3 linked regions of the Rhinolophus ferrumequinum genome follow. The protein of the gene in region 3 interacts with the protein of the main gene of each other region in a biochemical or structural test. Links are inferred from orthologs where the notes say so. Each region holds a gene or a part of one and is shown on either strand. Other genes may lie near its edges.

Region 1 (6,959 bases), on a different chromosome or scaffold from region 3:
TTGTTACTGACTCAGAATTACCTTTCACACACTGAGGTATCAAAACTGCAAAATATTTCAGAATGTATTACATTCATATTTGGGATGCCAATATAATCAGAATGAGCCAAATTCATTTTTTAAATTAAATGTTCAGATTCTTTTCACCCACAAGTCTTTGTTCAGCATTTTTGATCATTTAGTCTTCATTAAATACTATGTTTAATTAAATATGTAGAGATACTTTTCTAAAATCATAGATATCAAAATCGCTTTATTAAAGGTAAAAGCTATTTGAATTTTCCTCTTTTGGATATTGTTCTGTTTTTCAGTACCTCCTGTTTAATATTATCTGTGAATTTAATTAACAGACTGTTTACTTCCCTTTGTTAGTTGGTGTTACATAACACCACACCTAGCATCAATTCCTGCAGAATCCCTGTAATGCCTTTCTCCATGTAGATATTTCATTGTTTTTTTAAAAAATTTTTCTTCAGTTTTTGACTCATGAAACTTCAAGGAGTATATCTATGTCAGGAAATTCAGGGGCTTAGAAGAAAAGGAAAACACGGAAGCATAAATTGAAGTAGAAATTAGCAGGAAAAAAGAGAACATGAATGAGAGAAGGGCAAAGGGTCAAGGTGAGAAGAAAAAGAAATAAGGCAATAGACAAAAATAAATGTAGAAACATTTCACTCTTCTGGAAAAAATAAAATGTCACTGAAGGTAGATGACTGATTTGAGATTAAGGAAGTACGCAAGGAAGAGTAAGGATGAAAGCCTACATCTGTCAAATAAAAGAAATATATAACATATTTGAAAATACCTCATCAAAAATACGTGGTAATCTTTTTGGATGAAAAGGACAGCAAAACTGTAAGATTAAATATAAGGTAAGATGTTGGTATTAGTTTGATTTAAAATAGAGTCTTTCTTACTAATTGCACAATTGCTGTCCAAAGATACTGATCTATTCCAGTATTTGTTAAAAGGATGGAGATCTGTTCAAAGCAGTTGGCAAGGATGCCTATCACTGGACTAGGCAGTAGGATAGACCACAGGTTTCTATTTGCAGTATAGTTTTGCAGATACATCCACCTAAAAGTAACTAAAAAACTATATAACTTAGTATCTGATTGGTGTTGGACTTCATTACATATTGGCCTTTAATTGCTAAGGAATGTCAAAAAAGGGGAAGGAGGTAATTTTGCAATTTATAGTAGAGAGTCTGACTTGGAATCTCAGGCAACAGATAGTGTGTGAGCTCTTAGGGAAGAGAGACCAGTGATAACCAAGAGCTGGTGATATCTGCCAGCCCAACCTCCTACATTCAAAAGCTGATGGTGGTAATTGGGATGGATGTGATGCAGGACTGGCATGTTAACACACAGAGTTTTCAAACACAGGTTACATGTAAATTTGTTGGCAGTGGGTGGAATAGGTATTTTGATGGTCTCTTCTAACTGTGAGGATCTAAGTTTAAAAAAAATACAAAATTTCGTCAGGTTGGCCACTATAAGAAGTAGGTCTTCATTATTCTCTTTAGTATTATGGAATTACTTCATTATGTACTTTTTCACGTCCTAATCTCCTTTCTAGAATAACATAGAGTTTAGCAACCCAATACGTACATCTCTTACCCACCTACCTAATGAGTGATACTGAGTTGGCTTTCTCACCTATTCCTCTTTCTTTCAGAACCATTTTTAGGTATTGCATACCTCCTACCTGATTAGCATACTATAGTAAGGTGGTTCTTAAATGGGTAAACTTGGAGGTTCATTAAAACATTAATTACTGCAGTTTCTAATTCAGAGTGTCCAAAATGGGGCCAATGAATTTGCATTTCTAACAAGGCCCTAGGATAATGGTGGTCTGAGACCATTCTTGTGACTAGTCCATCTTCATTCTCCCAAGTGATATACTGTGAAGAAGTAAGCACACTGAAGGAGTCCTCAGGACTACTGTTTAATCAAGTTTGTCAATGATTTGGCAAATAGATTATGCAAACTGCTAAAGTAAAGGAAATTGTCTCTCATGCACCTTTACAACTCTTTTAATAGTCTTTTCCTTTTTTCCCAGGGCCTCTGTAACAGCCCTTTCCCATCCCCAATGTGCTATGTTGGTTTGATCATCCTTAGAGAAAATATCGATCTCAAAGATCAATGTTTACTGGTATTTAATGTGGGATTCCTCCTGGGAGAATTTAAAAGAACGATATATGAATCCAAAAGGGCAAATTACCTATACTGTAATTTCAAACTAAGGGAATGATTCCTCCACCTATATAAATACATATAATAGTGTTTATAAGTTTTATTTATTCATATATATGTGTATATATATAGTGTGTGTGTGTATATATATATACACACACACATACAGAAGGTGCCAAAAAATGTATACACATTTTAAGAAAGGAAAACTGTATTAAAATTGTAATAATACATATCGATAATAAAAGATGACTACAAATCACGTTTGATTTCTGCAATTACAAGAGGTGATTAAAGTGGTTACCATCAGTGTCCAGACACTTCTGATTACGGCAAACTACTGCTTGAGCAATGTTGACCAAAGTCCACTTGTACACATTTTTTTGCGATAATGCATATAATAGTATGTGATAATGCATGTGTTTATAAATACATATTTATTCATATATATGTATGTATGTGTGTCTATGTGTGTGTGTGTATATATATATATATATATATACACACATACATACACGGAGGGTGCCAAAAAACATATACACATTTTAAGAAAGGGAAACTGTATTAAAATTGTAATACTCAATATATACCGGTAACAAAAGATGAATACAAGTCATGTATAGAAGTATAAAAGACAAAACAAAACCCACCTCCTTTTTGGCTATATTAAGGGTGAGATCTCAGTTTATTGATAATTTTTGAATGGGCACTTCCGGATATTCTTGACATTTGCCTTGTTGAAAGTCCTCTTGTGTGTTACATGTGAATTATGGAGCATGCCTTGCTTTCTTTTTCACATAGAAGAGGACAAAAGTGTATTGATTGGTGTGGTATGTAGCACCCCTCCTCTCCACACCTCATTAGTACCCAATAGACTTGGCAATGGCACAGGTGTGTGTGTGTGTGTGTGAGAGAGAGAGAGAGAGAGAGAGAGAGAGAGAGAGAGAGAGAGAGAGAGAGAGAGAGAGAGAAACAGAGGAGGTGAGGTCAATGAAGAAAACAAAACGTGTATAGTCATAGAAATCTGACTTCACAGCCATTATTTCTGCGAAAATTCTTAACGCTTCCCATAGTCTCTCTCCCCCACCCCCGCTCCCCCCGTATCCATTTCGTTTTCTTGAGTTTCACAGCCTAGAGCTTTATTTCATTTTTTTAGTTTGCAATAGTCATATAGTGATTTATATTATGCAACAAAAATGAAAACATTAGTACTGCCTCAACCTTCGAGGCAGTCTGCAAGTCCCCCATCCCAACACCCCTACCCCGGTCCTTGGCCGTTAGGTGTTTGCGCCGCCGGCTAATGGTGTTTTTTCTACCGGTCAGGAAGCTGTGAACTGGCTTTGCAGCATCTTCCGTTCCTTTTCCCCGTCCTTCCTCTCTAGGCTTCTTACCCTTCTGTCTCCTGTTTTCACGGAGCTGAGCGGCAGCTTGCTTAGATACCCACTCTCCCCTTCCCCTCCCCACCCGCCCATCAAACAAAGCCCAGTGAGACAGGCGCGCGCCACTGGCGACACCGATGCGAGAAGCGGCCGCGCCGCCACGCGCTCGAACCGGAGTGGGACAGCGGGCGCGACCGCGCATCGCGCGTCCCCGCTGCTTCCTTCCCTCCGGACTCTTCCTTTTCCTTTCTCCAGGCCCATTCCCCACCCGCTCCCGCAACGCGCCTGTGCAGAAGCGCCCTCTCCCTCCTCCTTCCCCGCCCTTCCTTCCCTCCGCTCCTCCTCCGGTGCTCCGCCTTCCTTTCTCTCTCGTCTATTTCACTGAGAGCTCCAGGTTGGGAGCTGTTCAGTCGACTTCCCCACCACCCCGCCCCCCTTCCTCTTTTCTCCCCACCCCTCCCGTCTCCAGGCCGGTGGAGGATGAAGCGGCTGCAGTGGCCCCAGCCCCAGCAGCGGCACCAGCGGTGGCTGCGGTGGGGGTGGCCGGAACTGGGGTGGTGAAGCGGTGGCGGCGGCAGCGGCGGTGGCCCAAGGAGCGGCAGCCGCCCAGCCGCTTCCCCTGTGCTTCCCTTCCTCTTTAGTGAGCCAGGAAGTTTTTCGCTTCTGTGCATGTATGTGCGTGAGTGTGGGTGTATAGGGGAAGGTTTGGGCGGCGTTTGTGCAGGCGTTGGGTTTTTTGCCCACTTCGCTTCCCGTAACCCGGGCAGCTCGGGAGCCTGGGCTGTGGCCCGAGGAGGGGGCGCGGCGGCGACTCTCCTTTTGTTGTTGTTTCCTCCGCCTGGGGAGCTGAAGAGGGGACGCGTCTGGGTGGGGCGGCTCGGAGCCCGGGCCTGGTGGCCCCCGGGGCTCCCGGGCGGGCTGGGTAAGGCAGAGTAGAGCGGACTTCAACATGATGGCGGCCGAGGCCGGCAGTGAGGAGGGCGGTCCGGTGACCGCCGGGGCAGCAGGAGGCGGCGCGGCCGCGGGCTCGAGTGCCTATCCGGCAGTGTGTCGGGTGAAGATCCCTCCGGCCCTGCCTGTGGCAGCCGCCCCCTATCCTGGGCTGGCGGAGGCCGGAGTGGCCGGGACTCTGGGTAGCGGAGCCGCTTTGGGGTCAGGGTTCCTAGGAGCCGGGTCTGTGGCAGGGACACTGGGGGGAGCCGCACTGTCAGGGGGAGGTGCTGCTGCTGGCGTGGCTGGTGCTGCCGCCGCCGGACCTGGTGGGGAGATGGCTCTCACCAAAGGGACCACTTCATTGCCTGCTGAGAACTTCGGGGCAGGCGGCGGATTCCCTCCTCTGCCACCTCCTCCTCAACTGCCCCCTTTGGGCGCGGGCCTGGGAACAGTGGACGAAGGTGACTCTCTAGATGGACCAGAATACGAGGAGGAAGAGGTGGCCATCCCGCTGACCGCTCCTCCAACTAACCAGTAAGTCAAGACCGCTGTTCAGTGACGGGGAAAGTTGGCTCCTGCAAATAAGTGGAAAAACATACTCGTTCTGTCAGCTATAATTTGTTGTGAAAAGTTTTGAAGCGTCAAGTTCTACGCGTAGGGATTTAATTTGATCACTTATCTTCCCTACGGGCACATTCCCTGGCTTCCTCTGGGAAGATGTGAAGTTTTTAAGATGGGAAGCATAGGGAAATGTGTATCAGGTGACAACCGGATGTGGTTCTACCCCTTCTCAATTGAGGTGGCGTCCTGGGATTCAGCTGAGCTGGCAGCTACCAGGGCAGTCGTAGTCTTATATAGTACTAACCTGTGTGTTCTCTGTTGGAGCTGGATGATTAATTAGAAGTTTTGAATACAAGTATTTGAATGAGTGTTGTACTGATTATCATTTAAAACATGCCTTGGTCAGAATGCTTTGTTTTTGTTCCACTGCAAATTCTAACTTCTGCCTACTGAAAAGCATAGCGATGCAAAAGTTTTTGGATGACTTATGAAAACCTGTGTCAGCGAGAAAGAAAAGTTCTATGACTTACAGGTGTGATTAAGGGCCAGTACTCCTACAGTATCTGTAACTTGTGCCATTGAATTCCTGTGTATTAATATTAGTGCCATTCTTTTATAGTTGAGACTTTGTAAGTACAATATTGAAGTAAAACAAAATTAATAGTGTGCTTCCCTTTCAACGCTTTTCATTGGTGACCAATACAGTATTCTATTTCTAAATTTGACAGTCTACTGCAGAATATATCGAACAAATGACTTTTCCGTATAAAGTTAGTACATCTCTCTTGTTATCTTCATAATTGAATTTAGGTATGTGTTTATGTATGAAGGTGGACCTTGATGAGAGGAAAATGTTGATGTTCGGATGGTGATAGGAGGCAAAACTTGTATAGAACTCTCACAGCTGTCCTAATAGACCTTTAGAATTTCTACAACCTTGGTGAATATCAGAGGAAAAAAAAGGTTTGATTGACAGTTACTCTGGACACTTGAAAGTATTACTTAAAAAAGTTTTTTTGGATAAGCTTCTTTGGAATATTTAGAAAGGACTTTAAAAACAAATTAGGAAAATTCTGTAATACTAGCCTATTCTGTCTTAAGATGTAAGCCTATTCTGTCTTACATCTTTTGATACTTAGGTAGAAAAGTAAAGTTAGTCTTATGTCAGCCATGGTATAGGGGTGTTGTTTTCCTTTATGTTGTTCAATACGAGTTCAATTTTCTTTATCTAATTGTATTCAAACTTACCATGTCAGGTCTAGGTATTGCAGACTTTTCTGAAGGTGTTCTGAGAGTGTTAAAAATTCAGATTTTACACACTGTTTACACACCTTCAAACCTTTTTGAAAAAATCAGTTAAACATAAAGTACCCACTACATACTCAGCATTATAGTTATAATAAAGTGCAACTTTTCATACTGAAAGAATATAGTCTTATGCCAGTTCATAATTGAGTTAGGCATATTTAGTATATTGTAGTTTTAAATTTTTTACAAATAAAATTTGTAGAGCAATTTTAGATTCACAGCAAAATTGAGCAGAAAATACAGAGCATTCCCATTAAGTTTTTTGTAATAAACATAAATACGTACGTAACGTAGGAAAATTGTGTTTGTGAGGAGTCCATTGTATGAGATTTTCATTTGGTATTATGTATTTGAGAATAAAAATATTTGTGTGACTATGTATATGAGATTTGTTCTATTTCTAAAAAGTATCCTCCATTTCTAGTATGTTTTTTAAGTTTGCCACTGAGAAGTACAAATTTCCCTCTTTTCTTTATCTTAGATATCAACCCAGAGTCATTGGAGGCAATACAGTGTAGTGGTTAAGCGTGCAAATTCTGAAGTTAGACAAGATTTGGGTTGGAATCCTGACTACCACTTACTA
Region 2 (6,964 bases), on a different chromosome or scaffold from region 3:
CACTGAAGTCACCCTGACATCCTCAGGCCAAGCTCAGCACACTCCCCTCTGGATAGTTTTTGTATCTCACACACATTAAAACTTTCGCATAGCATTGTACTTGGTTATAATGCTAATGTTAGATTTTCTGTCTGTCTTGCTAGGATGAAACCTTCTGGGGGCAAAGCCCCTCCCCAGGGCGCAGCTCGTGGCCCATCCTTAGGAATGCACTGGGAGCCGTCTAGAAGTGGGAAAATGACAGGAGAAGGACTCTCCCCAAGGCCTCCAGAAAACACGCAGCCCTGCCCACCCGTGGACTTTTTCCCATGGGACTTTTTTTTCTTAACTTGGAGTTTTAATTGTGTACATAAATAGCAACATGAGAACAAGGAGTTCTAAGGCTTGTACATTATCTCTAGGTGAAAGGATTTCTGATTAGTCCCCTCGTCACCCAAGATAACCAAGCATCACCCAAGATAACCAAGAGGCCTAATACAGTTTTTCCTGAAGACGAAAGCCAGTTTATTACATTCAGTACTGACTTCTCTGCCATTTTTCTGAAGAAATACTGGCTTACTGTATTGGAATACTGGCGTTTCCAATGTTTACCGATAACTGATTAAAATGGACAGAACATGGAGTATTCTACTTATTTCTGGGTGAATTCTTCACATTTCCTGGCTTTTGAAAGTTCTCCTTCCACAAATCTTCTATGACTATGTGTCCTCGTAAACCCCAGGCATATAATTTCTCCCACTGACCTGGACAAATATGATGGCTTGTTGTGGATAATAAAGAGAGGCAGCTAATTCCATGAGACCAGATGGATAGACCAGCTTTTTTATTTTTGAACTTTTAGCCAAAAGAAGTCCAACAATGCCAGCAAACCCAATAACACCAAGTCTTGGAAAAAAAACTAGGAGGTGCATTTTGGAGATATTCATAGCTGTTTAACCCCCACTAACAAACTTTGCATCTTGGGCTCAGTTTGGGAGTGTATTTCCTAACACCAACTTGTACATGGCTGGCAATACTGTCAGAGATGTGAGATGCTTTCTTCAAGTTGAGTCTTTGGCTCCTCCACATATTTAGATTGACCCTCAGGAACAGAGTAGAGTGAAAGCTCATTAACCCCCACAGAAGTTTTGTGAGGTGTGTCCTTTTTTCTGTGATGCATAGACTTTGAAGGTGAGCAGACTCAGGCTGGCCGGCCCCCAAAATCTCTGAATTACCTTGAACATGGCGCTGGCAACGGCGGCTCTATCCCATGTGACTTCTGACCTATAGCACTGGGAGGTAATAAATTTATGTCACTTGAAACCACTGATTTTGACGTTACAGCAGCAATAGAAAACCAGTACATTTTTAAATGAATAGATTTAAAAAGAAAAACCGCAAATCTGGAAAGGCTACCCGGCTGCCTAAATGACCCAGGCTGCCTGGTGTTCTTGAGTCTCAAGGCTGACTTCTAATGATTTCTTTTTCTGTTTTCTTCTGTGCTGCCAAAGTATGAGAATTGTATCTATCATCCATTTCTGCGTTGTCACAGAGATGACACTGGGGATAGTGTCTACAACAAGCAGAAACACCCCTCTGAGGCCCTCAGGGTGTTCCTGGAGGGAGGGGCCATGAGCTCCTGGGCTGGGCTGGAGGCTTCTCTTGTGGTGCTGAGCTGCTTTTGGGGTTTCTTTCTGCTTTTCTTCTGCATTCCAAAACGCTGATACCACCTTCTTGATAAGTGACGTTTCACTGTACTATTGTGCTCTTGGACTATTAATCATCCTCTTTGATTTTATATCTTTTTACATGTAGTCAATTATGTTGCTATTTATATTTTAAAATGGCCAATTTCCCTCCATTTGCCTCAGCGCAATAAAAAATAAATCTGTTGGCTAAAGGGTTAACAGTGTAGCTTTGGGTTTTTTTGTTGTTGTTTTTTTCTTTTTGGAGACTTAGACGTGCAGGTGCGTTTTTATATGCCTTTCACAAAAAGAATCCAGGGCGAGGTAACTAGGTTTTGAATGTGCCTTCACTGTACATTCATAATAAATTCTGAACCGAATGGCACATTCATGGTTGCTCCCTGATTTAAATGAATGGCTGAATGAAAATTTGGGGGCACAGCTCACCTTCAAGAGGGCAATTCTGTTCACATTCTTACCTGACTCACCGTTCTTGATTTTTCTTGAAAAACTAGTTTTTCCTCTCTCCACAACAGCGGTCCCTTCCTCCCTGCATCTTTGTATTCAGGCAAGCTTTTTTTCCCCCCCACACTGCCGTTGGATGAAAGATCCCGCCTTTGATTGAAATGGAACCTTCCACTATTGAGCAGGCCTTTGCTGAATGAGTCATCGGGGCGGTTGCTCATTGGCTGAGGCCGCTGGAACCAGGGGATTGCCTGGCGCCCGCTGCAAAGACCTACTTCATTCACAGAAACGTTGGCTCGCTCGCTAGCCCTTTCATTCACACAAACAGCATTTCATTCACATTTTGCTGTTTTTGTCTGCTTCTAATGAAGATCACGGTTTGGGAATGATAGGGCATTTTCGCTTTAGATTTGCGGGGGTGGGGTGGGGGGTTGATTACCACCCCAATCATCTATGGGGTGTACATTTTGCTGTTGCTATGCAAGCAAGGGGAAGGGAAAAGATGAGAGCTGTGCGCCTGCCCTGTTAGGCCTGCGGCCTTGAGCCGGGAGCCGCTGCTCCCCTGTGTTCCTGTGTCCAGCAGCCGGCCCGCAGGGACTGGCACTGGTTACAGTTGCTCCATAGAGCTCTTCAAGGCTGGCTGCTTCATGTGTCACTTGTCTAGTCGTGGGTGTGAGAAGACTCAGGGTGACCTGATAACGTGCTAGAGGTAAATTCATTTGCTTGCACAGAGGTAGCTGGAAACTTGGACAGGGACTGTCCAAAGACTGTGTCAGGCAGGCTATTTCAATGCCCAAGGAAGATGAGAAAGACAGCAGAGCCCACGGTGACAGGGGTCGTGGGTTTGAGCCCCGCAGACCTCCGGGGGGCTGCTCAAATGCCCTGCTCTCTGAGAGGGAGGCCTGTGAGGTTCTCTTGCAGCCTGAGTCTGATTCCTGAAAATAAAAAGGGGGCATTTTCCTGCGGATTTGATGTGTAAGGACAGCAGCTGCATTTTTTCTTTCCCTTACTGCAGGGCTGCAAGCCACAACCGAAGGGACATTGACATGTATTTGTAGTGTTTCTTAGGCATTTTTCCAGAGCTTGAACACATTCAGTTAGAATAAAGCTTCAAGCACAGACCCTTTTTTGGAATGGATTTCTGGAGCCTGTTGCCATTCATCAAAGAAGCACTCTTCTTCTTCTTCTTCCTTTTTTTTTATTTTTGGAAGTAGATTTTCAACTTAACCCTGGCTGAGAAAGTCTGCTGTAAATTAGCAGGGGAGAGACCTTTACTGGCTCTGTGCAGGAGTTCATATGTAGATTTTTTATTTGTTTGTTTTGGAGGAACTGTATTGCCACAAAGACATTTGTCTTGGGCGCTCTGTTAATTTGAAAAGAAATATCCAGGAAAGTGGTAATTTATGTTCACCTGGGATTGAATATCCCCTCTACCCACACTTTTTTTTTTTTTTGCTATGTAACAATTCCTGCTTGTTTTCCAAATCAGAATTCACGAGGATCCGCTGAAGATCTTATTCTTAAAAAGACTTCGTCACATTTTAACGCATCGCTGTCAGATACTTACAGGCTCACACAGATGGGCTGATGGGGAAGAGAAAACCCTAGCGTAGAATAATGGGTTTCAGAAAGTTCATCAGATCATCTGAAAAAAACTGGATTTACTTCTGGCACAAATGCTGAAGGGGGGATGGGAAAGTGAAAAATCAAAGGTTGGAAGGAAATATCTGGGAAGGTAGAAAAAGGAAATTTGAGAATTGATTGGCTCTAGTGTGCCGTTAGTGGGTGTATGTGGTTTTTTTTCTTCTTCTTTTTTTTTTTTTTTGCTACAGGAAGTGATTTGCAGTGTTCACCGAGCCTTTGTTGAGAAGGGTCTCCTCTCGGAGTGAGTCATGCTTTTGCTGTGAGCAGCTCCAAGCAGCTGGGCGCTCATCAGAGGAAACTATGACTTTTGAAAAGCGAGCGTGCCGCCCTCAGCAGCCGCGTCCGGGGCCGGGGCTACGCGGCCAAGGCGGCGCGGGGTGTTAGCGGTGGGAAGCCTGCGCTCCCTCCAGCGCCCCCGACCCCGCCGCGGTCCCGGCCGCTGCGTCCACCCCGGGAACAGCTGCTCGCCTGCTATGCGTGGCAGCCCGCGCCCGCGCCCGCACCTGCAGCGCCCGGGCGGATGCGGCGAGCCCACGGAGGGGCATGCTTCCACGCACCAAGTACAACCGTTTCAGGAATGACTCGGTGACATCGGTCGATGACCTTCTGCACAACCTGTCGGTGAGCAGCGGCGACAAGGTCTCGGCGGCGCGCGCGGCCCCGGCAGCGGCCCCCTACCTAGTGTCTGGAGACGCGTTGCGCAAGGCGCCCGACGATGGCCCGGGCAGCTTGGGCCACCTGCTCCACAAGGTGTCCCACCTGAAACTCTCCAGCTCGGGCCTCCGCGGCCTGTCGGCGGCCAGGGAGCGGGCGGGCGCGCGGCTCTCGGGCAGCTGCAGCGCGCCCAGCCTGGCCGCCCCGGACGGCAGCTCGTCCCCCGGCCCCCGCGCCCCGGCCATGCGCGCCGCCAGGAAGGGCCGGCCCGGCGACGAGCCACCGCCCCGCGCGCCCCCAGCCAGTGAGCAGGTGCTGGGGGCCGGAGTCACCTACGTCGTTAAGGTAGGTGCGGACACGGGCAGCCGGGTGGGGAAGCTTGGGTCCGCCACGGTGGGTAGCCTTGGAGGCCAGGAGGTGCGCACTCCTTCGCAGCTAGCTTGCCTGGCACCGCAAACGCTCCGGTTGCGCATCCATTGCGAGGTTTAAAAACGGTGACCTCATTCTGTCTTGGTTTGCCTTGGCTCCACTCCTTTGGCATGCCTTCGCCACTTCGCTTTGCCATGTGTCCGGCCTGTGCTCCTTAGGCATGGGCCCCTATCCCTGAGAACTGTACCTCAGGCCTACCTAGGACACACTTGAAAGAACTGGGCAGCCCCTGCGATGAGAAATGCAGGTGGTGCCACTACTTCTGCTGTGTTTGCCCCAGGCAAGGTGGATGGTTTCCTTCTCCCCACAGCAAGAATTTCCAGCTCCTGGTCATGCCGGCCAAATGCTGTCTTGTTTTATGTAAGACAAGCTGTACTTTCTTACCCATCAAGGTTTTCCTTCGTGTCTGCCTTTCACTCCTACCTAAAGGTTTTGGTTCACAGCAGCAGGAGGAGAATTTGGGGCTGTTTTTCCCTAGGGACTGTAGTTTTTCATTTAAACATATTGAAGGGAACTGAGCTTGTGGCGTCTGGAGCCTGGAAAGGAGATTTTTCCTCCAATACAAAAATTATAAAATCACGCCTGATATGGTCAATAAAATTCCTCCCTTAGGCAAGTATTTTGTGATGTTTAAGGAACAAATATCACTTCTCGGCCTTTTGGCTAAGATCATGTGTAGGAACAAACACCCAGCACTGACCATTGGCCTGCCCCACTTCTGTTCTGCCTTTAGAGAGCAGGGAGCTATCACAGTGCTAGCTCCACAGCTGGGCAGACGTCCCAGACCAGGAGACGGGATCAGAGGTGCATTGTTTCAGTCTGGTCACCCCAAGGCATGGCATTTTATTTAAGAAAAACAATAAGACAAATCTATCCCTATGGTGTTGTCAATTGAGAAACCTGCAGGATACCTGGTCTGTACAAACTGGCTGCAGATCCAGTTTAAAAATTCAACAGACGACATTCTGAGGTAAAATGTTGTATCTGGGTAATTTTGGAATCAGAATATTAAAGGAAACAGTTAACTTTGTGGATTATCTGTATCTAAAAAGTACTGACAAAGGATGTAATCATCAGTGTTAAACATTGAGCCGCAAAGGCTGCTTCGTCTTAGCCTCTGAAAATTGACTAATGTATTTCACAAAAGAGATGTAAGTCAGCATAAAATATATACATCTGGTTGAGTTTATTATAAAAGAAAGTGAATATTCTTTTTGTATTCTTTCTTTAATATATATAACCAGGAGCCAAAAACAAAAAGACAAAAACCAAACAAAACCCCCCGACAACTTTGAGGTTAAACAGTGACATCAGAATATATCACGTCCAGCATGTTAGTATAATTGCTATAAATAAATAAATAAATAAATAAATAAATAAATAAATAAATAAAAGCCTATGTTTAAAAGAGACAAATCAACCTTGGCACAGCTTTCTATACTTGCCATGTTGAATATAGAGGGTAGTTTTCAAATGGAAGGAGAATTGTCAAACTTTTGCCTTCATTTATTTATTTTTAGTTTCAGGTGTACAAAACAACATAATGAATAGACATTTACACCCCTCACAAGGTGATAACCCCGCTCCCAGTCTATTATCCCTCAGACATCGTATATAGCTGTTACAATACCACTGACTATATTTCCTATGCTATATTTTACATTTCGTGAATATATATGTATATATATGGTGTGTATACATATATGGTATATATATATAATTATAGTTTACATTCAATATTATTTTGCATCAGGTTTAGGTGTACAGCGCAGTGGTCAGGCATCTACTTTTGCCTTTAAAGATTTCCTTAAAAAAAAAAATTCACTTGGCTTAGTGCTTTGCTCTTGCTTTTTGAAGAATGAAGGCAGACATCCAGCTCTCCAGGTCGGTCGTGGCTGAGTAATGATGAACCACTAAAACAAGTCTGCCCTGCTGGGCCATTCTGTTGGTGTAAGGTTGTGACACCCAGAAGCAGCTACTCAAACAGGCATAGCGCTGAGTCGGGTCTGCCCAGGGCCTTCTGGGGCTTGGGGTCACTTTGTCATGCTTCACCTAAAGGGTTGCAGTGAGCTGGGGTGCATAGCATGGCTAGTTAGTGCCTGGTGCCATTG
Region 3 (7,734 bases):
CCAGTCCTCAGCAGCACCCCCCTCCACCCTCAAGCCTTGGGCACAGACAAGTGACCTCACTAGCGGGGGGGAGCTCTGGTAGTGGTGGTGGGGTCAATGTGAGCTTTGTCTTTAAAACTGGAAGATAAGGAGCTGGTTGCCTACCCTACTCCGGCTTCCCTTCTCACTCCCTTCCCCTATCCCAACACACTTTCCAGCCTAGAGTATTCTTCAGCAAATATAGAGAGGCCTGGAGCAAAAGAGCAGCAAACTCCCCCCATTCTAAGCCTTCCACTCAGTTTCACTGTCTGAAGAGTAGTTAAAAAGCCTTCCAACATGGCAATCCTCACTCACATTAGGTAGAGCCTAGAATTGAGGTCCATGAGGAATGTCAGTCTGGGGGTTTGCTTCACCTTGTAAGTAAGTACAAACGATGTAGGGGCTACAGGAAATCTTGACCCTGAAGCCCTATCCCTATCTCTTTCCTCTGGCTCAGAGAAAGACTGTGGGGAGGGTGTGGGGAAGATACCACCTGTTCCAACCACCCTTCCCTGAGGCGGTGGCAGCTTAGTGGGAGGCAGGAGTGGGAATGGAGGAAGTCTGATGAGGTCCCAACCCCTCCTCCTAAATACATCCCTGGTCTGACCACTTTGAGGGCTCCCATTCCCTATCATTCCCCACAAAGGGAACGGGGCAGACAAAGAAGGGTAAGTAGGCAGGCAACTCCCGGGGAAACCTAGGGACTCCAGGGTCCTTGGGCTGAAATGAAAGAGACTAGGAAGGTTAGTCTTTTCTGGAACAGCCCCACCCCAACCCCCTTCCTGGCAGGACACCCCCTCTTCCAAGTCAAGGCGCCAACCCTTCTCTCCAGATAAGGGAGGAGCCAAGATTTCTGCACAGGGAAGTGGGCTGTGTGTGTGGACGTGCACACACTCGTGAGACACACAGATAGCTCCTCTGCTGGCCCAGAAATCTATACTAGCTCTGTTCCTGGGTTTCTTTATTAGGAAGAATTTCAGGTGGCCCCATCCATTCCACCAGCCCATTGTGCAGACTTTGAGTCCGTGCTCGGAAGGCGACTGTTAAGAGGTCCCAGTTCCCTGCCACCCAGAGGGTAAAGTCCATACTACATACACAGGGAGCAAAGGGCCTGAGCGGGAAGAGAGTATGAACACCTCTGAAGAGGCACCTTGGGAGAAGGCGGGGGGGAGGGGAATTATAACAATCCCTGTTGTACTCAGGGAGCAGGGGCACAGGGAGGGGCTGTGTCACAGGCCCTCCTAGGGTAGGGTACTGGGGTGGGTCTCAGCAAGAATCTGCAGCCCCTCCACAAGCACAGGCCTCCACTCCAACGTCCCCCACCCCCATCACAGTCAGGACAAAGGGGCTATAGAAGGACTGAGACAGGGCCGGATGCCCAGAGGCTGCATGATCCAGATAAAGGGTAAAGAGACCCAACCAAGCCTGCCCCCTGGCTCCCTCAGGGAAGGTAGCCAGGGTTCCTGGTAGAAGATTCCAGGGGTCTGAAAGGGACAATGATAGAGTCCCACTACTAGGTCCCTCCCACTCTAGTCCCCAGCCCTCCCTGTCCCCCCCCCCCAACTCCACCAGCTGGGAGTGTTCACATCTCAAGATCCCAGGGTCTAAATTTAGGCCCAGCAACTGTGGGGGAAGCACAGGTGTTTCTCCCACTCCCACTCTGGGGAAGGGGCCCTGGCTGTGCCAAACCCCAGAGCTGAGATCTAGGGGGAGGGGAGAAGATCAACAGGATTCCTTCAATGCCAGCAACATCAGCACCCCTCAGGTGTCCAGAGACACCCCAAAGGGGTGGACTCAGATGGCATGGGAGTGGGAGGAGGAATAGAAGAGCAATCTGACTCCTCTAGACTCCTAGAGACAGAGTCGGACAATAAACAGAATGGTGGTGGGAGAGAAGCTGGGTCTAGGAAGAACTCCCCAGGAAGGACAGGAATTCAGAGGGTGGGAGAGGAGCCCTGTTAGCCCTCACGTTGGGGAGAGAAAAGACAAACAGGCGGGAAATCCTTGAGGCTACTACAGCTCAGCTCCAGGTCCAGGCCTTTGCGTATAGTAGATGCTCAGTAAATTTTAGTTGATTTGCTCTGGATCTTGACAAAGAAAGGTTGGTCATGTTGGGACCAGCCAGCTTTATGGTTTTTAGGGAAAGAGGACAATCATACTCTGCATGGCCTCTCACCCTGGTATCACCTGGACTTGGCTCACTGGTTAATCTCAGCCCTCCCCAGGGCAGGCTCACTCACGGAAGAGGAGGTGCCTCTCTTGTTTTTCCAACACTAGAGAACAACAACCCCCTCCAACCCTTCCATAGCTCCACCCTGTCGGCAAAACAACAAAACTGGAGGTTGCTGAAACCCGGGGATGGGAGGGGGGTGAGGGTGGGCAAGGGACTGGGGAGCAAACTGAGACACCCCCCCTTTCTCCAAGATCTCCACCTCCAATCATCTTACGTTTACAGAATGGAAGTCCCAGCTCCCCTCCCTGCAGGGCCCCCCCAGAAGTGTGAACTCTTTCGGCATCAGTCCTATCGCAAAGGGCAAATTAGAGGGTCGGCGATGCACTAGGGAGGAGGTGGTGGTGGTGGAGGGGGTGGTCCAGGAATCCCATCTCCCCCGGTCCCACGCCTCGAACCCGAGCCAGACGGTCCCTGCCCAGGTGATCCCAGCAGATCCGGGGTCAGCATCCCCAGGCTCGCGCCACCCGATCTCCTGCGGCTGCCCCAGGATTCCGCGCACTCAGTTCGGAATCCCAGGTTCCGAGCCTGCCTGTGTTCACTCGCCGCTTACCTGCCTGTGAGTTGCCCACCTCGGAGCCCCGGGCCAGGCTGAGAAGGAAGCCCAGCACCTGCAGAGCCCCGTTCGCCCTCATGACTCCAGCGGAGGGTGAGCGGAGCCCAGCCGAATCCGGCCCCGGGGGCCCCTGGACTAAGACATCGAAGCGGAGCCACCTGAGCCTCCCGCGAACTGGTAGCTGCGGCGGACGAGGTTGCAAACTGCAACCGGAGCTGGAGCCAGAGTCCGGGGCGGGATGGCAGGGGAGGGGTGTGTGTCTGAGGGAGCGCAGAGGGAGGGGGTGAGTCACGGCCGCGCCCCCGCGGGCGCGAGGCTGGCGTGGGGACTACTGGAGCTTCCACCCGCCGCCAGCACGCCCCACGCCCAGTGCCCCGCAGCTGGGCCAAGCGGATCCAAGATGGGTCTCACCCGAATTTTTCTTTGGGAGCTGGACTAAGGGGAGGTCAAGATTCCAAACGCCCCCAAATGACTCCAAAGGGGTAAGGTAATGGGGGTGGGGAGAGAGCGCCAAAGCCCGGCCCCCTGAAAGTTGGCCTCGCCCATTAACCAAATCACTCAACTACCCTAGCCGGTTGGGTCACTTGGGGGATTTTTCTCTCCGAATGTGAACGTTTCTCTCTGTGCTTTTGAGGGGGAGGATATTTTTGCCTCACGCTCAGTTCACCTCAGTTTCCCCGGAAACCCCTCGAAACCCCATAACTCATCTACCCTGCCGAGGAACCCGAGCCCCAAGGCCGCGTGAAATTGTACTGTCTCCGGCCGCTTCCTCCTCCAGACCCGGCGCCGGCCGGGTCTCTCCGGGGGATTTGGTTGAGGGGCGGGGGTGGTTTCCAGCCTGGGAACAGACCCGGAGCCCGCCTTTCCACTTCCACCCCGGGAGGGGCTCCCGCACCTGTCGCCATCCCCTCTGCTGCCCCCCACGGCCGCCTGGGAGAACAGCTGCCTCCTCTTCCACAGGAGTCTGACCGCGCCGTCGGGGCGGCGGGAATTCCTAAAGCTCTTCTGGGGACCTAGATGGGCACACTATCCCCACCACAGGCGCTCACACCTTCCCTGGCGCCTTCCAAGCCCGGGCTGGAGCTGGGAAGGAGGAGGGGGTGGTGAAAGAGGACATGGAGAGGGCACTAGAGACTAAGTCCACGAATGGCCTGGATCCCTGGCATCTCCACCACCAGCTCCCGGATCCTGGCCAGAGGCGGTCGGGCGCTCTGCGAGTGGCAGCCCCAAATCCGGCTAGTCTCGGGACGGATCCGCCGGGCGCCCCCTGGTGCGGAACCCGTGGCAGTGAGGCTCCACAATTGGCATTCCGGATTTTAGCCAGAGAGTTAATTATTTTCTTCACAGTTTTTAGCCTGAAGACGTCGAGAATAGTTGATGAAGAAAAATTTTGCCTCTCACTCCGACCCTAGACTACCGGCTACAGTTCTTTAAACTTGCTCGGTATTGATATACACCCTAGAGGGTCCACTCTCTGCTGGAGGCTTACCTTTGCCGGAGGGCGTTGGCCTTGCCCTGACCACTTGCATAACAATCATAATACAGTAGTAATCAACGTCAGCGAAACCTTAACATATACACACATATACCACTTAATTTGCAAGCGTTTCCTCAAACTTACAGAATGTTTTACTTAACATAAAAATGTATGCTAAGGGACCTCAGTCTACATTTTATGGAACTGGAAAATGTGTAACTTCTCCAAGGTCATGTACTTGGTGACAGTGGATCAGGTGATTAGGAAGAGGGGCTCAGGTTTTTGCTGAGGATTTCTTATGTCACACTGATACTGGAGCTTCATCTGCTTCTGATCAGATTCCCATCAGATAACTGAACAAATACCATCTTAAGGCGCCTTTTGTTTTATTACCCATCTCAATTTAGTGTTCAAAGACACTGTTTCTGAAGGAGGAAACCCTCCTTAGTTTGTTTGTAAAACAGTTTTGTCTATTTATAAAGGTTGTTGTTTGAATTTAATGAGAAAAGGCAGGTAGAGCTCTTAATTATTGTGTTGCACTGGACCTTTAAAGAAGAATTCAATGAATACTAGCTGTATTTATTCCAGCTATCACCAACCCCACCTCTCCCTTTCCCAGCTAGATCCCAAGGTGTGTTTGCTGGTATCCATTCTTCAATAATTAGAGAAACATAGGGATATAAACACTGGATAAAGCTGACAAGTGAGGGGCCATCTCTATTGGGTGCTACCCTAACTGAATAAATAAAGGAAAGGAGGCCGTATTTTAGAAAAGCTACAGTTATCCAGAATTCCTTTATCTTTCTTATTTGTTATCTGATGACTTTGGTTCTTATTTTACTGTGAAAATAAAAGTAATCAAAAGAAAACATCCTTATCTTTCTACCACCAATCTGGCCAATTTTCCTCCATCTTCACTTATATACTCTGACTTCCATCTTGTTATAATGAATTGTCCTTGCTGCTATTAAAGCTGTCACTCCCCCATTCCCATCCCTTACCCCAATTCACCCTCCAGTTCTACATCTCAGATCATTCCTTCCTGCCTTTCTCCTATATTATCCCCTTTCTCCTATAGTATCAAATTTCCTTTCTACTAGATCATTCCCATTAACATACAAATGTACTGTAACACCTGCCGTCTTTTAAAAAAACATACAACAAAACAAATAAACTTTCTTTGACCCCATGGCCTTTGTTCCTAACTGCTGCAAGGTATTCTGTCATGTGAATTCCTATGCTTTATTTGTTCATCACTCCAACGATTGCCTCTTGTTTCTGGCTACCACAGCGATGTTGCAATAGAAATAAATACCCTTGTATGTGTCTCCTTTGGTTCTTATGCATAATAAACCACACTCTGGAATATTACACCATAAGTAGTGGGATTTCTGTATCCCAACTTCCTCACCAATACTTGACATTATTCAGGTTTCCATTTTTTTTTTAATTTGCCATGAATTTAAAATAGCACATAGCAGGGGCTGCCGGTTAGCTCAGTTGGTTAGAGCGTGATGCTGGTAACACCAGGGTTGCCGGTTCGATCCCCACATGGGCCAGGATGAGCTGCGCCCTCCCCAACTAGATTGAAACAACTACTTGACTTGGAGCTGATGGGTCCTGGAAAAACACACTTGAATAAATAAAAGTTAAAAAAAAATACGGTGAATGTTTAAATAAATAAATAAATATCACATTGCATTTCTATAATTACTAATATGTTTGAGTGTCTTCTAACATTTTTTCCTTTGTTTCTCTTTTATGAATTGCCTATTCATTTTCCTTTGCCAATTTTCCTATAGGGATTTTCATGCTTTATATCGATTTGCAGCAGTTTGTTATGTATTTCAGATATTAGTCCTTTGTTGGTTTAATTTTATTTATTTATTTACTTATTTACTTATTTATTTATTTTAGAATTTTTATGAGTTTATTTGAGTCAAACTGACAACATATGCCAGGGAGCAAAATCTCAAATGTTCTTCCTTTTGTTGTTTTTAGACATTGCAAATATCTCTTCTCAACTTTCTTCATTAACTCTGTCAATAACTTGTTTACTGAACAAAAGTCCTTTGGTATAATCTGATTAGTCAATTTTACTTATGGTTTGTGATCTTGATATTTTTAAAGACTTTCTTCCCCACGCTTGCAGCACGTTTATTGAGGTATAATTTAAATATAATTGATATATAATAAGTTGTACATCTTAAGTCACAATTTGATGAGTTTTGGCATAGGTATATAATCCAATCAAGATAATGAACATATCCATCACCCAGGAAAACTTTCTCTTGCCCTTTGGTAATCATTTTCCTAGTCCCCGTAATCTCCCGCAGCCCCACCCCAGCATGTATATATTCAGTTGTTTAAGCATCACTTGTTGATAGTAGATTTTAATAATAAAAAATACTAGTACTACATAGTAAAAATAGGTATTTGTGTTTAGGTATTTTTAGGGGAGAAGTTTTCAGGGACTTGTCAAGTAAATACTTAGGCAAAGTAAAAGGTATACACCAAGTAAGTTTCATATAACATATTGCCCCTGCAAGAGTGATTAATGCAAAAAAACAAACAAAAAACAACACATACACAATTAGAACTAATAAGAACATTAAAAAATGTTCTGAGTATAACAACAATACTACCCAATTAATAGTAGTTATCTTGATTCTAAAACTGGATAATGAAGATGCATGAAATAAGTTATTGATTCATCTCACATATATGTATATACAATATCCTAAATAGAATACTAGTTAACTTAATCAAACTGTGTATTAAAAAATAATTATCTGCACACTCTAGTTTCTGAAAAACTTGTATGAAGTAGTAAGAAACCATTTCTCAATAGAAGCTATTCTTGAACTTGACTAAAGTCAGTAGAACATATTTGTAAAATCATCTGGGTTGAGACTTTTGGGTAGTGAAGTCTCTTATTAACATTTTAATTTCTTCAATGTATTTTCAAGTTTTGAATTTCTTTTTGTTTTTAACTTTTTTTATTTATTTGTGTTTTTCCAGGACCCATCAGCTCCAAGTCAAGTAGTTGTTTCAATCTTTGTGGAGGGCGCAGCTTACAGTGACCCATGTAGGGATCGAACTGGCAACGTTGGTGTTAAGAGCACCCCGTTCTACCAACTGAGCTAACCAGCTACCCCTAAGTTTTGAATTTCTTCTTGATCCATTCTGCTGTTTATACTTTTCCAGAAATTTATCTATTTCATCTAGGTTTATAAATTCATTAGTGTATGGTTATTAATAATAAATACTGTTGCTATTTTTTTTTAATCTGTTGTGTCTGTTTCCCATTTTCATTCTGTATTTTGCCTATTTGCATCTTTTTTTTTTTTTGTCTATCATTCTAGTTAGAGCTCTCTTGATTTCTTCTCTGGTTCATTGATTATATCATTCCTTTTATTCTTATTTCTTCTCCACATATCTAATAGATTTAGC

The links. The genes of interacting proteins can lie anywhere in the genome.
Region 1: the proteins of ERBB3 (region 3) and RASA1 form a complex in vitro, tested with the Homo sapiens proteins (2 studies listed by BioGRID and IntAct, with this or other methods). The link is inferred for Rhinolophus ferrumequinum from reciprocal best matches to the Homo sapiens genes ERBB3 and RASA1.
Region 2: the proteins of ERBB3 (region 3) and SHC3 form a complex in vitro, tested with the Homo sapiens proteins (2 studies listed by BioGRID and IntAct, with this or other methods). The link is inferred for Rhinolophus ferrumequinum from reciprocal best matches to the Homo sapiens genes ERBB3 and SHC3.

What each region holds. Positions count from the first base shown.
Region 1 is NC_046290.1:56,677,597-56,684,555, forward strand, and holds the start of RASA1 (ras GTPase-activating protein 1), read left to right. Parts: upstream 1-3,957; 5' UTR 3,958-4,523; coding exon 4,524-5,041; intron 5,042-6,959. UniProt on the Homo sapiens protein: Inhibitory regulator of the Ras-cyclic AMP pathway. Stimulates the GTPase of normal but not oncogenic Ras p21; this stimulation may be further increased in the presence of NCK1.
Region 2 is NC_046295.1:4,784,401-4,791,364, forward strand, and holds the start of SHC3 (SHC-transforming protein 3), read left to right. Parts: upstream 1-3,962; 5' UTR 3,963-4,313; coding exon 4,314-4,769; intron 4,770-6,964. UniProt on the Homo sapiens protein: Signaling adapter that couples activated growth factor receptors to signaling pathway in neurons. Involved in the signal transduction pathways of neurotrophin-activated Trk receptors in cortical neurons.
Region 3 is NC_046293.1:55,448,985-55,456,718, reverse strand, and holds the start of ERBB3 (receptor tyrosine-protein kinase erbB-3), read right to left. Parts: upstream 3,025-7,734; 5' UTR 2,884-3,024; coding exon 2,802-2,883; intron 1-2,801. UniProt on the Homo sapiens protein: Tyrosine-protein kinase that plays an essential role as cell surface receptor for neuregulins.